Linked DNA regions of Drosophila melanogaster. The gene in region 1 interacts genetically with each later gene. Each region holds a gene or a part of one and is shown in the gene's direction. Other genes may lie near its edges.

Evidence for each region. A genetic interaction does not mean that the proteins touch.
Region 2: of RpS13 (region 1) and Polr1B, changing one suppresses a phenotype caused by changing the other (phenotypic suppression), as found in Drosophila melanogaster (one study listed by BioGRID).

What each region holds. Positions count from the first base shown.
Region 1 is NT_033779.5:8,361,959-8,368,514, reverse strand, and holds RpS13 (ribosomal protein S13), read left to right. Parts: upstream 1-3,852; 5' UTR 3,853-3,951; coding exon 3,952-3,974; intron 3,975-4,199; coding exon 4,200-4,327; intron 4,328-4,389; coding exon 4,390-4,694; 3' UTR 4,695-5,038; downstream 5,039-6,556. Other genes in the region: Pp2A-29B (protein phosphatase 2A at 29B), read right to left, coding at 1-584, 644-718, 785-1,203, 1,266-1,419, 2,121-2,204; CSN8 (COP9 signalosome subunit 8), read right to left, coding at 2,876-3,126, 3,187-3,362, 3,411-3,475, 3,536-3,592.
Region 2 is NT_033779.5:401,238-410,330, forward strand, and holds Polr1B (RNA polymerase I subunit B), read left to right. Parts: upstream 1-3,047; 5' UTR 3,048-3,146; coding exon 3,147-3,236; intron 3,237-3,298; coding exon 3,299-4,798; intron 4,799-4,857; coding exon 4,858-6,657; 3' UTR 6,658-6,732; downstream 6,733-9,093. Other genes in the region: CG4213 (uncharacterized protein), read right to left, coding at 1-426; AP-2alpha (adaptor protein complex 2, alpha subunit), read right to left, coding at 8,151-8,228, 8,295-8,499, 8,553-8,836, 8,890-9,093. UniProt on the Drosophila melanogaster protein: DNA-dependent RNA polymerase catalyzes the transcription of DNA into RNA using the four ribonucleoside triphosphates as substrates. Second largest core component of RNA polymerase I which synthesizes ribosomal RNA precursors.

The sequences.
Region 1 (6,556 bases):
TCCTGACCCAACTGACCGGCCAGAGCAGGCATGTACTCGATGATGGCTAGACGCACACGCCACTTGGAGTCCTCGGCCAGCTCGACGATGGCGGGCAGAAGCGACTGTGACAGTTGCTGGATACCGATGACGTCGTTAACGCAATCCAGGTTTGAGATGATGTTTAGGCGCACTTCTGGGCACTCATCCTTGAGTTGAATAAGGAACAGGGGGAGCAATTGCTCCACAGTCTGATAGGCGCCCAGCATGGGACTCAAGCCCATGATCACTGAGGCCAGAGCTGACTTCACATGAGGATTGGGGTCCGAGACAAGATCGCGGACATAGGGCAAAATGGAACTAAGGATGATTTGCACCTGGTTGACCTTGTCCAGATTGGCGCAGAAGTCCTTCACCTTGGTGGCCACTGCAGCGCGAACCTCGGCCTCGGCATCCTTGAGCAAGTACTGGAAGGCAGGCACCAAGTCCACCCTAGTAATCTCTGGGCCCACAGCCTTTTGCAGATCAACAAACTTCTCGGCCACCATGTAACGCACCCTCCAGGAAGAGTCGCTGGCGCACTGGCGCAGCGTGGGCAGAACCAGCTATGGAATATTTTTTGTAAGCCAACAGGTATTAACAATTTCAGCGCTGATCAACTTACGTGCTCTACATCATCCTGAGGCAGCAGCTGGGCAATGCTTACGCATGCCTCTACAGCCAGCAGACGGACAGAGTCCTGGAAATTAAGGATAAGGATTGATATTTTGGAGTGTTGTTAAATTGGTCTTAATCAGGTGCTTACCTGATCATCCTGTGCCAGCTGGACAAAGTTGGGAATCAAATCGGACTTCAGATACTCCGTCTCAACGACCTTGGCAAACTCGCCCAGCTTGTTGGCCGCTGCACGGCGCACCATGGGTGTCTCATCCTGGCAGAGCTTTCGGAAGTTGGCGCGCAGCTCGGCCTTCACTGGCTGTGTGACGCGTGGATAGCAGACCGAGAAGAGGCCGCAGGCAGAGGTGCGTGAGGTGAACCAGTCACCGGAAACCAATCGCTGCAGTGTCGGCACCACATGGATCTCCAAATCCTGGGCGCTGTGCTCAGCGGCCACGGTGCGTAGAGATTCCACAGCCTTGTCTCGCACCACGGTTTCCTCTACGGTGGCCAAACTCTCGAGGGGCGGAATCAAGTACATGGCAAACTCTGGCCCACCAACGAGACCTGGAAAGTAACGGCGGAACATGGTTGGAAATGTTTTCATTAGAAATTATATCTTTGCTCACTAGTAAAGTTGCCCAGTTGGTCGGCCAGGGCCAGCAGTACCTCGTCCTCATCGTATATGGTCTCGGTGAGGAAGGGAATCAACTCGGACCGTGTGCGCTCCTCGCCCAAAGCGAGTGCAATGGTGGACAGTTTCTTGATGGAGTTCAACCGAAGCTGTTTTGGTAAGGGAAAATATTAAAGATGATTATTTTAATAGGGTATTCAAATTTAGGATAAGTGGTAACTAATTCTACGATTTTGAGGTTATTATTGATAGGGCTATTGGTTTTTTTTTACAAAAGCGGTGGTCAACCTGTACCCTACATTTTATTTTCAAAAAAAAACGTAGCATATATATTTACTTAAGATATCTTTTTTAGATAAGATAAGTGATTAGATTATTCGATGTAACGAAAATATTTCATCTTACTATCTCATTTTAAAATCAGTTATGGTATTACTATTGATTGAAGTTGATCTATTTTTAACACGCGCAGTTGTAAATTGTTTTTGCAAATAGCAAATGCGTAAAAACTTATACTTATACATACATAAATGAAGGATAACAAAATCTACAAATAAAAAGCGGATAAAGACGTATACCCATAATTGCAATTAATTGATAATAGTAATTTTTTTCGCAAAACGCTAATCTTGTGTATATCGAAATTCGGTATAATTTCGATGCACACACTCGCACCAACACAAATGCCCATGCACACACGCACACACACACCGTGACGCATTTTTGCACAAATACAATCGCAGATAAAGCAGGGAGTGTGGGCACGCTACCCCAAAATTTAATCACTAGAATATTTCTGCACATTCTTCGCGAGATACAATTGGATTTCAGGTTTTAGGACATGACAAACCTGAACGTCCTCGTTTTTCAGTTCATCGATTAGAACCGCAATGGGATATAGTGAATCGTCGACCGATTTGTCGCTTGCTGCCATTTTTTCTGCTGTTTCTGCTGCTCACACACAAACACAAGCGCACTGAAAATCGGGTCTTCTATTCTGCAGGCAAACGACGAGATTTCTATTTGGCCCTCTGGCGATTCGCAGTTTACTTCTTCAAGGTTACAAAATAATTTCGCAAGGTACTATATTTCGTCGCTGCAAATTTTCTAAGAATCCATACAATTATCCGCTGATTGCTGTTCTTTTCGAACGAAAAACGTACGTCGTTGGTGCAAATTAATATTTTTTTTCTTCAAGTGACACAACGGTAGAGGTGGAACGCATATCGGTTATCATTCGATACTATCGGCGTTTCCGCGCGTCGATAGATTTTCTGAAATATATTTTATTTAACTGAATTCTGAAGAATATTAAAATCACACTTATTAAATTAGGCCAAGAATATGATTATATATCTACATAGATTACATGGAAAATTATAATTCTGTAGCCTTAGTTTCTAGTTCCTAATTTTTAGGTATACTTCCAAAAGCTAATTCGTACAAAACCCAATGGCGCCAATTCGGTGATTTAGCTAATATTTATAAATATGTCTAATAACGATATTAATCGAGTGTTTTTTAGATTGACACAGGCTGTGTGACCATAACTTTTCTTCAAATGTATACAAAAATCCAATTAAATGTATTGAAATTTATTGAGGCTTAATTCTCTAGGAAGGTTACAAACTCGGTCAACTTAAGCAACTGGTCATCGTTTCCACGAGCTGGCGGTGCTTCCTGAACCTTGGGCTTCAGGATTACCCGGTCACCGTCCAGTTCCTCAGTCCAATTTAAGGCCGCACAGGCGTGTTTCAGTTCGTCCTCCGACATTAGTGACAATTCCAGTAGATTGTGCTGGTAAATGGACATATATGCGCTGCCCATTAGTTTGAACAGCTCTTCGCGTTGCTTATCTAAGTAGATACATTATAAGTTTTTATATCCAATTAGTAAGCTTTTAGGCATAGCCATACTTAGAAGATCCTCCACAGGTGACTTTACTCTTTCCGACCACTCATACTTGATGTGTTTGAAGAAATCGGCATAGTTATTGTTCTGCAGGGCAATATTGAGCAGGTTCAGCTGGATCAGTTCCTTGTCATCCCTTAGGTTAGCTGGAACTCTCATCCACAACAACTTGGCATCAGCCCTGTAGCACAAGATTAAAATATGTATTTCTTTTATATCAATCACTTACAGTTTGTTTTGATAGAGGTAAATAGCAAGTAATTGCTGGTAGACTTCAGCTCCCAGTTCGACTTGCTGTAAAAGTATGGTTTTCTAGAATTCCATCTGTAGTGAATATATTAAACGATCACTCACCTCAAATTCCTCGTTCTCAAGCCGCTCCACTACTTCACTATATTTATTTAAATGCATTTTATTGGTAAATTCTTGGTCGGGAAACAATAATGTGACCGTTTAGCGTGCTGCAAGAAATGAAACCTTCCCAAAGCACTCCTGTGCTTGTGTAGAGTCTAGCTGACAATAGTATACATATATCGATAGCTAAATGAATTATTTTTACACAAATTAGCTTTCTATTTCCCTTTAATAAATCCTGTAATAGTCACTTAAAGTAAAGTTTTGAATATCACAACATATTGTAAGCGCATTAAAAAAAATATCGCTAAGCATCCCGTTATCGATAGCTGCTTTGACAGGTCTCCACATCGTAGAGCTGTCAACGTGCCAAAAGTCTCCACCTTCTTTTCGGTGTCAAAAACTAGACTATCAAGATGGGTCGTATGCACGCTCCTGGGTAAAAATGAAATTTTTCATTGTTTTCGATGCCTGTGTGCCAAGCTGAATGCATGCAAAATGTGTCTGCCGTGCGGGTTGAACGAATGAATGTGTTTAATGCGTTTCTACGGTGGTTTTAGTGTGTTAATTATCGACCGCAAAGGCAAGCACATGGTGCAGACGTATTCGCATTTGACAGGCGCCGCCATAAACGCGTACTAACATTTGTGTATTTCGTTCACAGCAAGGGTATTTCCCAATCAGCCCTCCCCTACAGACGCACTGTCCCATCCTGGCTGAAACTGAACGCAGATGATGTCAAGGAGCAGATTAAGAAGCTGGGCAAGAAGGGTCTGACTCCCTCCAAAATCGGTGAGCACTGCCGAGTATGTTGTTGTTTGAGGTTATGTTAATCCGGAATCCGGTTTTTACAGGCATCATCCTGCGTGACTCGCACGGAGTTGCCCAGGTGCGTTTCGTCAACGGAAACAAGATCCTGCGCATCATGAAGTCGGTGGGTCTGAAGCCCGACATTCCCGAGGATCTGTACCACATGATCAAGAAGGCCGTCGCCATCCGCAAGCACTTGGAGCGCAACCGCAAGGACAAGGACGGCAAGTTCCGTCTGATTCTGGTCGAGTCCAGGATCCACCGCCTGGCCCGCTACTACAAGACCAAGAGCGTCCTGCCCCCCAACTGGAAATACGAGTCGAGCACTGCCTCCGCCCTGGTTGCCTAAGTTCTTGATTCGCTAGTTGGTAGTTTGTTTTCAAGTCTTGCGGGGTCCTACATTTCCATCAATGTACAACCAATAAACCCAACAAATAAAACTGGAAATCGGAACTATTTTATAGACTAAACAAATTATGTGTGGTTTATTTACTTCAATAATTTCCAGTAATCTGCTTCAATGATTTCCAAACTCAAACTTGATACTATTTACCTGTGGCTAGCTTTAATTCAAATTCAGCGGCATCTCCAATAATGGAACTTTGTGAAACAGCTTAAAGGATGTGGACTAAAACCCAAAATGCTTTTAAATACATATGTGCAGCCCAGTCTGGGTGTTTCATACCGGAATACTTTTAGGAACAACATGATATATTCATTTTGAAAGTGCGCTTTGGGGAATGCTTTTAAGTATGTATTGATCATCGATTATGCCTTAATTGTTAGAGCTGAACGTATGTTTTTATTCCTGGTGTGTTACAACGTTATTTCCCAATTAAGGGGGTGTTTTAAATTTCGAAATGGAGATTAGGCGCAATAATTTAAAAAACACCTATCGAAATAACGAAATTGGAATGTTCCACTCCTTTAACATTCACTTGTTGCATGGTTTTCAGCAAGAAACTGCAAATCACATATGTACATAAATATATACAAATGTTTGTATGTATGTGCCACACTAGGGGGCACACAGGTAACAATTTTACAGTGGTACTTCTTTAACGTGAATAGCTGAGGATGTTAAAACCCTGATGGCCTCTTATCGCGTTTTCAATTTCAAATACATGCATGTATTTATATGTGAGGGGGAGAAGTGGACAATAATGTTATTGATTAACATTAATATTTTTGTGAAAATCAAACGGTTATCGCGCTTCCGTTATAAATCTTATTGTCAATAATCCTAAGTAGATTAAAATTGGAAATTCACATACTTACATTATATGTACTACTGTATGCTATATATACATACATACAACTAATAAGAAATTTTGTTGAGATGGTTTCATGTTTAAAAGCCCGATTGGAGTTGGAGTTTGTCTTGGGATGATGGAAAAAACTACCTAACGATGATGCTATACACAGTGCGCTCTCAGAACAGCGAAATAACTAAGATAACGCACCGGTCATACATAAAGTGTTGTGTCTGGTAAAATGTTATATAGAGTTAAATCCTCGATACAGAATTAATACAGATATCAAATTTCTATGCAACTTGCTTAAAACTAAAACTATTTCTAAAGGAAGGGAGCAATAACTATGGCGGTTGAAGCTAGGCAGACTCTACTGTAGCTCGGGAGCGCCTGGGGTTGGGGGTGAATTTCGTATTTAGAGCCGATAGCCGCCGAAACCGAAACCGCCAGTGTTCAGAATTCAGCATTCAGTAGCCTGCTGCTCTTTCTGGCGCTCGGACCGAAGTTTGTTTTATTATTTACAATATCTGTATATAGTTTTTGTGTTGCTTTGCCGGGTCTTCTATCGCGATTTTCTCACGTTCGCCAGCAACAATAACCATATTGTTGAATGTAAACAATATTGAAACAAAAGTACGTACATAGTACATGGGATTTGCAAGCAATGGCAATTATTTTAATTGTGCGCTCGCCGATTGCTTGGTAATTTGTGTGCCTGAAAAAATCCATGTGATTAGATAATTTACAGACAAACGAAAAACCATCGATGCGGCCTTTATCTGTGCGCAATTATTGTTTCTTGGCCGATAAGTGTAATGTACATTTGCATTTGTACATTTGGATAAAAGTTTCCCTTTTTTTGTGCCACCAACAACGTGGTACGTCTCGCACACCCGCACATAAATATATAGATATTTACATATGTACATACATACTTATATTCCGAATGGTTAAACGG
Region 2 (9,093 bases), 8.0 Mb from region 1:
CGAATGGTCGTGCTGATTATCGGCTTGACCGTCTGTAGCCGTAACTTTTCTAAGACGTTGATTCTCAGATTTTTCTATGGCCAATTGTTCTTTAAGACTAGCAATTTCATCCCTCAGGCCCTGCACAGCATTTTGGCGAACCTCTTTTTTCTGACGAAGCTCTTCTCTGAACTCTTCGAGGGTCTGTTCTCGTTGATGGGTCTCATTTCCTTTGTCCTCCATTTCAATTGCAACTTTATTCTCACGATATTTCACTCTATTTTCGGGAAGTACCTCCTCAGCTTCTTTTTGGGTTGTGGCTCGGGGGGCCTGTTCCAGAATGAGATCCTCGTGCTCGATGTTGTTCCACCAGGGCTCGTCATCAGTGGACTGCTGCATCTGCATTTGCGTATCATCCGCAGACTGTGTGGACTCGGCATTTCCCATCTTTACCAACAGAACAAAGACGAACGAGCTGTGGTATGCGGTTGTGATGATCTGTTTACCAATGCAGATTCGCCTGGCGAGCGTTAAATTTACGATTCGCTTTAATGCGACTTTTCTTCTAGAGAAGAACTCTTTGTCGGCACAAAGAAAGCCCAAGATCCACCGATCTACAGATCGCCACCAATTGATATGGCACCAATACCAGCAGGGGAAAATACCAACAAAAATCGGTGTCTATATTTGTGTGCGACGATCACACACGAGTTTGCAGATTTCGCAATTATCTATTGACTTTCACTTTTCAACCAAGGATGTTCGAGAAAAAATAATGTCCCGATTTCCATTAAATATTCTTCACTTGCACATTGAACTTCGAAAGATACGGAAAAGGAGAAACGTAACTAAACTAAATATCTAGTATACATATGATAAACTTCTATATGTATACGTGACGTTGGAAAATTTTCGGGTTCTAATTTCTATCCGTTCGACGGTCGAACGCAACTTTTCGGTTAGCCAGCTCGGGAAAAACTGAGAAAACATTGAATAGATTCTGCTATTTTTAACCCACTACGATCTCTCCTGCTTTCAAACGAATTTGGCTTCTCTCGGCGGCACTCCCAACATAAAATGCTTTGTTTTCGAGCATTAGAGATTCTTGTTATGTTGAGGGTTTGGCAAGATGTCTGAGAGTCTTCTTAGGACTCTTCCCTTCACATTCTTAATTGTTCTTTTTAGTTTTATGCACATTTTAATTAGAAGAACGTGTCAGATGAATCCGTCTAAAATTATACACAAGCGTCATTTTAATTATGAGTAAGGGGTAAAACAAAACAAAACTCTTGCCACATCGCCTGTCAAGAAATGAAGATCAAGACCAGTTGTCAAGAGCTGAAAGAGAAAGATCCGCAACACTTACTAGGTGAATGATCTGCACTGTTTTGAAGACGATGTTTCCTAACATCAGGAACTTTAATTACATATAAAAAGCATACAAAAGAATTAGCATTACTCTCAGTTTTGGTATTAGGTAAAAACTCTGGGTGAGTATGAACACATGTTCAAGGTTAAATACAGCACAATCCTATTCATTTTTCAATTCATACACGATCACAAACTTTTCTTAGCGCACCCCTGTCTGACCCACATTCGTTGACCATTATCACTTCGTTAAAGAGAATAAATCTCTGGACCTTTATTAACCAATTTGTGATAGTGGCATAGGGTATCCCGCGCACCCCCGAACTCAATGAAAATCTTTCGCGCGAAAGTTTCAAATGAAAATCCATTTGCTAGCTGATTTTTGCACTGGCCACGCCAACTTCCTGTTTTTTTCCCCCAGTGCGCGCATTTGAAAAGTGGGAAACACGCAGCAACGATTCCAAACCAAGGACGGTGAAGGGTTTTCCGGGGTAGGAAGGAAGGATGGCGCACACATTTGGCAAAGTGTCGCCAGGCTTGAAAATGAAAATCAACAATGCAATTTGCCATGGCGCCTCGCTCTGCCCCTTAGTTCTAGGTTTCTCTGTTGTTTGTAGCGACTCAAAAGGGAAAAAATTCTGCTAAAAACTTGAAGCGCCAGGCAAAAGTTGGGCCCCAGGAACGCCCTCAGCTTTTGCAGAGATTGCACACAGGCAAATGTGCAGCGAAAGTTGAAAGTAGCAAGGATACAAGAACCAGGCATCAAGGACGCTCTGCCCAAAATAAGTTGCAAGAAATCCATTGTGTTCATTATAATGGAATAATAAACCGGAGTGACTGCGTTCAGATTGGGGTTCTTTCCTTTTCCATTAGCCCCTGAACCATCTCAAATTGATGATATTTTCTTGATGTTCCCACAACCACTTCATGTTTTCACGTTAAAACCCAACAAAGTAATTTGGCAATTCCAATACAAGAAAAATTAAGAAATCTGGCATCAGCCTTGATTAACACCTATCTTAAGACGAAATATAATGTTAGTAAAATTTTCATATTCTCGCAGTCATTAGACATTAATGTGCCAGTCAGTGGGGTTTAAGCCCAAGTATTCGACAAAACTGCTTCTTAGAAGCTTTAGATGGCGTATTTTGGGGAGGGTGCTTCAGATTAATATGCACATACATACATATGTGCATACATACGCCACCTATGTGGCTCACAACAATGCAACAACTTCATTGCCAGAGCAACACGTTGGCACATCCTGTTGCAAAGTCTCATTTCCGCAGGAGTTGTGTTCTACATACCGGATGCCTTTGCAAATGCTAAATGGTTATTGCCGTATGTGCACAATATGTCAGACGTTGCAAATAAATTATATTTGCTTTTATACAACTTGGATACAATTCAAAATTGGGTTATCAGGCTTATCAAGCGCGCACATATCAGCTGTTCCTTGCATTCGGTTGGCAGCCCAGTTATTTAAAGATGAGCTGAACACGAATCGGAACCATACGACAATTCACCGAACTTTAAGGTTATTTTAGTGTGTTCTATTAATCTGAATACAAATTTTTAGTGATGGTTCTTTATTTACCGAAAATTTTTATCCCAATCATCTATATTCTTATTTCATTCAGTTATATGAACAATATAATATATGAACTAGTTCTTTGCGACTGCCTCACCACTGACTGGTTCGCATTCAAAACGGTTCGATTCCAAACAACACGTGCGAAGGAAGGCAATAGGTTTCTTAATATTTTTGGTCGGCATTCTGAAAGAATAATACTTACAACATGCTGGAGGAGATGCAACAAATGAAGACCATTCCAGTGCTGACCAATTCCCGCCCGGAGTTTAAGCAGATACCTAAAAAACTCAGCAGGGTAAATATCAATCTTGTACCTATAGCAAGGTTTCGTGCTAATAGATTTACTTCTATGGCTAGCATTTGGCCAATTTGGGAGGTCCACATGTGGATTCCTTCGACGAGATGCTGACCGTGGGACTGGATAACTCGGCCAAACACATGATCCCGAACCACTGGCTGAGTCCTGCCGGCGAAAAGATTTCAATGAAAGTAGAATCAATATGGATAGCGAAGCCAAAGGTGCCGCAAGATGTGATTGATGTGCGCACCCGAGAGATTTACCCCACGGACTCCAGGCAGCTCCATGTCTCCTACTCGGGAATGTGCTCGGTCCGATTGGGGTGGAGTGTCAATGGAGTGCAAAAGACTCCCATAAACATGGACCTAGGAGAAGTGCCCATCATGTTGCGCTCCAAAGCCTGCAATCTGGGACAGGCTACTCCGGAAGAAATGGTAAAACATGGAGAGCACGACAGCGAGTGGGGGGGCATTTTTGTGATCCGAGGAAATGAGAAGATTGTACGTATGTTGATCATGACCCGGAGGAACCATCCCATATGTGTAAAACGTTCATCCTGGAAGGATCGTGGACAGAATTTTAGCGATTTGGGTATGTTAGTGCAAACGGTCCGTGAGGACGAATCATCCCTGAGCAATGTAGTACATTATTTAAACAATGGAACTGCAAAGTTTATGTTTTCTCACGTCAAGAGACTATCATACGTACCAGTTTGCCTGATCCTCAAGTGCCTAATGGATTATACAGATGAGGAAATATACAACAGATTGGTGCAAGGCTACGAGTCCGACCAGTACTATGTGTCCTGCGTGCAAGCCATGTTGAGGGAAGTTCAAAATGAAAACGTCTATACGCACGCCCAGTGCAAGAGCTTCATTGGCAATCTGTTCCGTGCCCGCTTCCCAGAAGTTCCGGAATGGCAACCGGATGATGATGTCACAGACTTTATTCTTAGGGAGCGAGTAATGATTCACCTGGATACCTATGAGGATAAGTTCCAGTTGATTGTGTTTATGATTCAGAAGCTTTTCCAATGCGCACAGGGCAAGTACAAAGTGGAGAACGTCGACTCAGCTATGATGCAGGAAGTGCTTCTGCCAGGCCATCTCTATCAGAAATACCTAAGTGAGCGAGTCGAATCCTGGGTCTCGCAAGTCCGACGTTGCCTTCAAAAAAAACTGACTTCACCTGATGCCCTAGTTACCAGTGCTGTGATGACGCAGTGCATGCGACAAGCAGGAGGAGTTGGCCGGGCCATAGAGTCGTTTTTAGCAACTGGAAATATTGCGAGTCGCACTGGCCTGGGATTAATGCAAAATAGCGGATTAGTCATTATGGCGGAGAACATTAACAGGATGCGTTACATGTCCCACTTTCGCGCCATCCACCGTGGTTCCTATTTTACAACGATGAGAACCACTGAGGCGCGGCAGCTGCTCCCGGATGCCTGGGGTTTTATTTGTCCAGTGCACACTCCTGATGGCACACCGTGCGGACTGTTAAATCATTTGACTCTAACTTGCGAGATTTCGATGCGTCCCGATCCCAAGTTGGTGAAGGTGGGTACAGCTAATGGTAGACTTTATTAGAAATTTTAACCGATTACTTTTTTTTTCAGGCCATTCCCAAGCATCTTATAGATATGGGCATGATGCCCTTGTCAAACCGAAGATATTTGGGCGAAAAACTTTACGTCGTCTTCCTAGATGGCAAACACTTGGGTCACATTCATCAATCAGAAGCCGAAAAAATAGTTGACGAATTGCGCTACGGGAAGATATTCGGCACCCTTCCCCAGATGATGGAAATCGGCTTTATACCCTTCAAGAAGAACGGTCAGTTTCCAGGGCTTTACATTGCAACGGGTCCTGCCAGGATGATGAGGCCCGTTTGGAACCTAAAGTGGAAAAGGGTGGAGTACATCGGAACACTGGAACAGCTTTATATGGAGATCGCCATCGATGCAAAGGAAATGTATCCTGACTTCACCACTCATTTGGAGTTGGCTAAGACCCACTTCATGAGCAACTTGGCCAACTTGATACCCATGCCGGACTACAATCAATCGCCACGTAACATGTACCAGTGTCAGATGGGAAAACAGACGATGGGAACGCCATGCTTGAATTGGCCTAAGCAAGCGGCCAACAAGTTATACCGCCTTCAGACGCCAGGGACTCCTCTCTTCCGACCAGTACACTACGACAACATCCAGCTGGATGACTTTGCAATGGGCACAAATGCTATTGTAGCTGTCATTTCCTACACGGGCTACGACATGGAAGATGCTATGATCATCAACAAGGCTGCTTATGAACGAGGATTCGCCTATGGAAGTATCTACAAAACAAAGTTTTTGACGTTGGACAAGAAGAGCAGTTACTTCGCAAGGCATCCACACATGCCGGAGTTAATAAAGCATCTTGACACGGATGGTCTTCCACATCCGGGCTCCAAATTGAGCTATGGTTCGCCCCTGTACTGTTACTTTGACGGAGAGGTCGCCACTTATAAAGTTGTGAAAATGGATGAAAAGGAGGATTGCATAGTAGAGAGCATCCGACAGTTGGGAAGCTTCGATTTGTCGCCAAAAAAAATGGTGGCCATCACACTGAGGGTTCCACGACCTGCCACTATTGGAGACAAGTTTGCATCAAGAGCTGGTCAGAAAGGAATTTGCTCACAAAAATATCCTGCAGAGGACTTGCCATTTACGGAATCTGGTTTGATTCCAGACATTGTGTTCAATCCCCACGGCTTCCCCTCCCGAATGACAATCGCCATGATGATAGAAACGATGGCGGGAAAGGGGGCTGCAATCCACGGAAATGTTTACGATGCCACGCCTTTTCGCTTCTCCGAAGAGAATACTGCTATTGACTATTTTGGCAAAATGTTAGAGGCTGGGGGTTACAATTACTACGGAACGGAGAGGCTGTATTCCGGCGTAGATGGCCGCGAGATGACTGCTGACATATTTTTTGGAGTGGTGCATTACCAGCGTCTTCGGCACATGGTGTTTGACAAGTGGCAAGTAAGATCTACGGGAGCGGTGGAAGCTCGGACCCATCAGCCAATTAAGGGCAGAAAACGCGGTGGAGGCGTCAGATTCGGTGAGATGGAACGGGATGCTTTGATCTCTCACGGTGCTGCTTTCCTGCTGCAGGATCGCTTGTTCCACAACTCCGATAAGACGCACACCCTGGTGTGCCACAAGTGCGGCTCCATTCTGGCGCCTCTGCAACGCATTGTTAAGCGAAATGAGACGGGAGGACTCTCTTCTCAGCCAGATACGTGTCGCTTGTGCGGGGATAACAGTTCTGTATCGATGATCGAGATACCATTCTCTTTTAAGTATCTGGTTACCGAATTGAGTTCGGTCAACATTAATGCGAGATTTAAGTTAAATGAAATTTGATTTAAATCTAAAATTATTGTTAGGTCCTATGTTAACCCGTGCGCTAATCGTAATAAAGATAAATACGTAAAATACAACTGTGCTTGCCAAGTGTTTATATCCAGATCGTGGAAACGTTTTAAACACCTTTCAAATGGTTTCAATTTATATTTATTTAAATACATATTGGTTTACGTTTACAGTTAAATTCCTGCACTTGCTATATGTAGTTGTGGCTTGGTTTTCTTGCTCTTGCAGTTGCTTTTGTTTTGTCTGTGAGTGTTAAATGGAATTTGTGTGGAATTTTGTAACATTTAACTATTGCACTTTGGAAATGCCTAAATTTCCAGCTGTCATGCACATTGGTTTTTACGAAAGGATCGAGAGTTTAATGGTAATAAGTATTTGATGTCAGTTTCCATTATCGGTTTTCAGTATCAGTATCTATATAGTGTATATTTTAGTTTACAATTCTTTGTTCTTTATCGGCAGCCGTCTCGCATTTGAAGAGAGTCATTAGCAGATTTATGGCTGGCGGCTACTGCTGCTGCTGCTTCAGATTAGTTAATACTTGGTGCTACAAAGATCGCTTTCTCTTCAGGAAGCGGCACAACATGAAGTAGCCCCTCTCAGTTTATCTATGGTACACAAACGAAACGTAATATTACCCAGAATCATTCAAAAAATTCTGCTATAAGTATAATAATATTCTGAAATTTTTGCTTCGTTTTCTTCAATAGGGAAATTTTTCCTATCGTTAATAAATTTTAAGTTGCTCAACAGTGATTAATCAAGGAGATTTTGTGGATCTGTCTAATTATTTGTCTATTATTTAATGAGATTTCTGCTCTTGCGGTCCTCCATTGGATTTTACAATCAAAAACATTAAACATGAATTTCGTTTAGATGCAATTGCAATAATCAATATATGTATAAATATTTAGATAACGATTTGCATACTTGTCATTTGCAGGCATCTTAATAATTCCCTTGCAAGCTTTTCTCTTTTGTTTTATATTGATTTCTGTTTTTATTACAACGACGTATATACTAGGTATATGTATGTGGTTTGTATGAATGTATGTAGATCTGTATATAGGTATATAATATCCAATTGCTACTGCCTCGAAATGATGCAACAATATATAATTTGTCATACATATAAACATAATCTAATTATGTTCTCTCGTTTCTCTACTATGAACTTTTTGAGCTTAACATTTACAAAAAAGTTTGGGAACATGAAATTGAAAATGGTTAAAGTAAGAGTAGGTTTACAAACATAATATTCAAATAAACAGGACAGTGGGTAAATCAACTCGCTGTTGGAGAAGATGAAAGGTACTTAAGAAGAGTGTAGGAGTGTGCCTGGCATAACTAAACGCGTACAGTTCTAGGGCCTTGTATGCTTTGATATTTCTCTAGGTAATTGGGATTGTGCATTGTAAAGTGGTTGCCGTTGCTCCATGGCTTCGCAGCTCCGTCTCCATCACCCCGTCCATGATTGTTGTGGCTTAGAATTGATCCGTCAACAGATCGCAGATTTCCCGAGTTACGGTCTCCTTGCTTGCCCGAACTGTCAGTCGGAACATCTATTGATAATTTGAGAAATAGGCAATAGGCATTATGTTCCAAGTATCTAACAATAAATTACTCACCTGAGCCTGCTTGTTCGGCTCCAATCGCATAAGGCAGCCCACCTGTTGCGATTGCGTATGAATGATGCCCGCGCAGACCATGTTGTCTGGATTGGGATCCACTTGGTCCAGCAGTTGCATTCCAAAGCCCATAAGCTTGTTGCGGGCTCCGGGCAAATCCAGTGGCTGTGCAGCCTTGAACACTTTCTGTGACCGTTGTTGTTCACTACAAATGCACAATTAATATTGAATATTATCAAAAGACACCTTATTAAATACCCGCTAAGGTTCTTCCATCGTGCAAAGAATGATTCCGCATTCATTTCGGTAGGCTCAAAGAATTTGTTAACGCTCAATGGCAGTTTAATGCTGAACTTCTGCTGGGTGCCGTTGTAGCGGAAACTGATCTCGATTGTTGGCGCATCGGCGTAGTCCTCGATGCATTCCGCGGTTAACAGTTGTTGGATCTGGGCGCCGGCCTCCAGGGTTGGCTCCACCACCTTCATCTGCACGTTCAGCTTAAGCGCATCCTCGGCAGACCATTGCAGCACAGGATTGAAGTTCTGAAAAGAGAGCAATGTAATGCCTGGAATGTTTCAGAAACTAATTTACTTACTGTCAGGGGAACCTGTGTCTTGTTGCCGTAGAAAAGGCCTAATCGTCCTAAATTCTGGCGAAACTCGCTCTTCACACCGATCTGCAGCATTTCGTTCTCAAACAAAACACCATTGTTCTTGAACAAAAACTTCTTCGTGTTGTACACGGCACTTGAGTTGTTGTTACTATTGCTGCCGTACATGTCGCCCAAAACATCAATGAG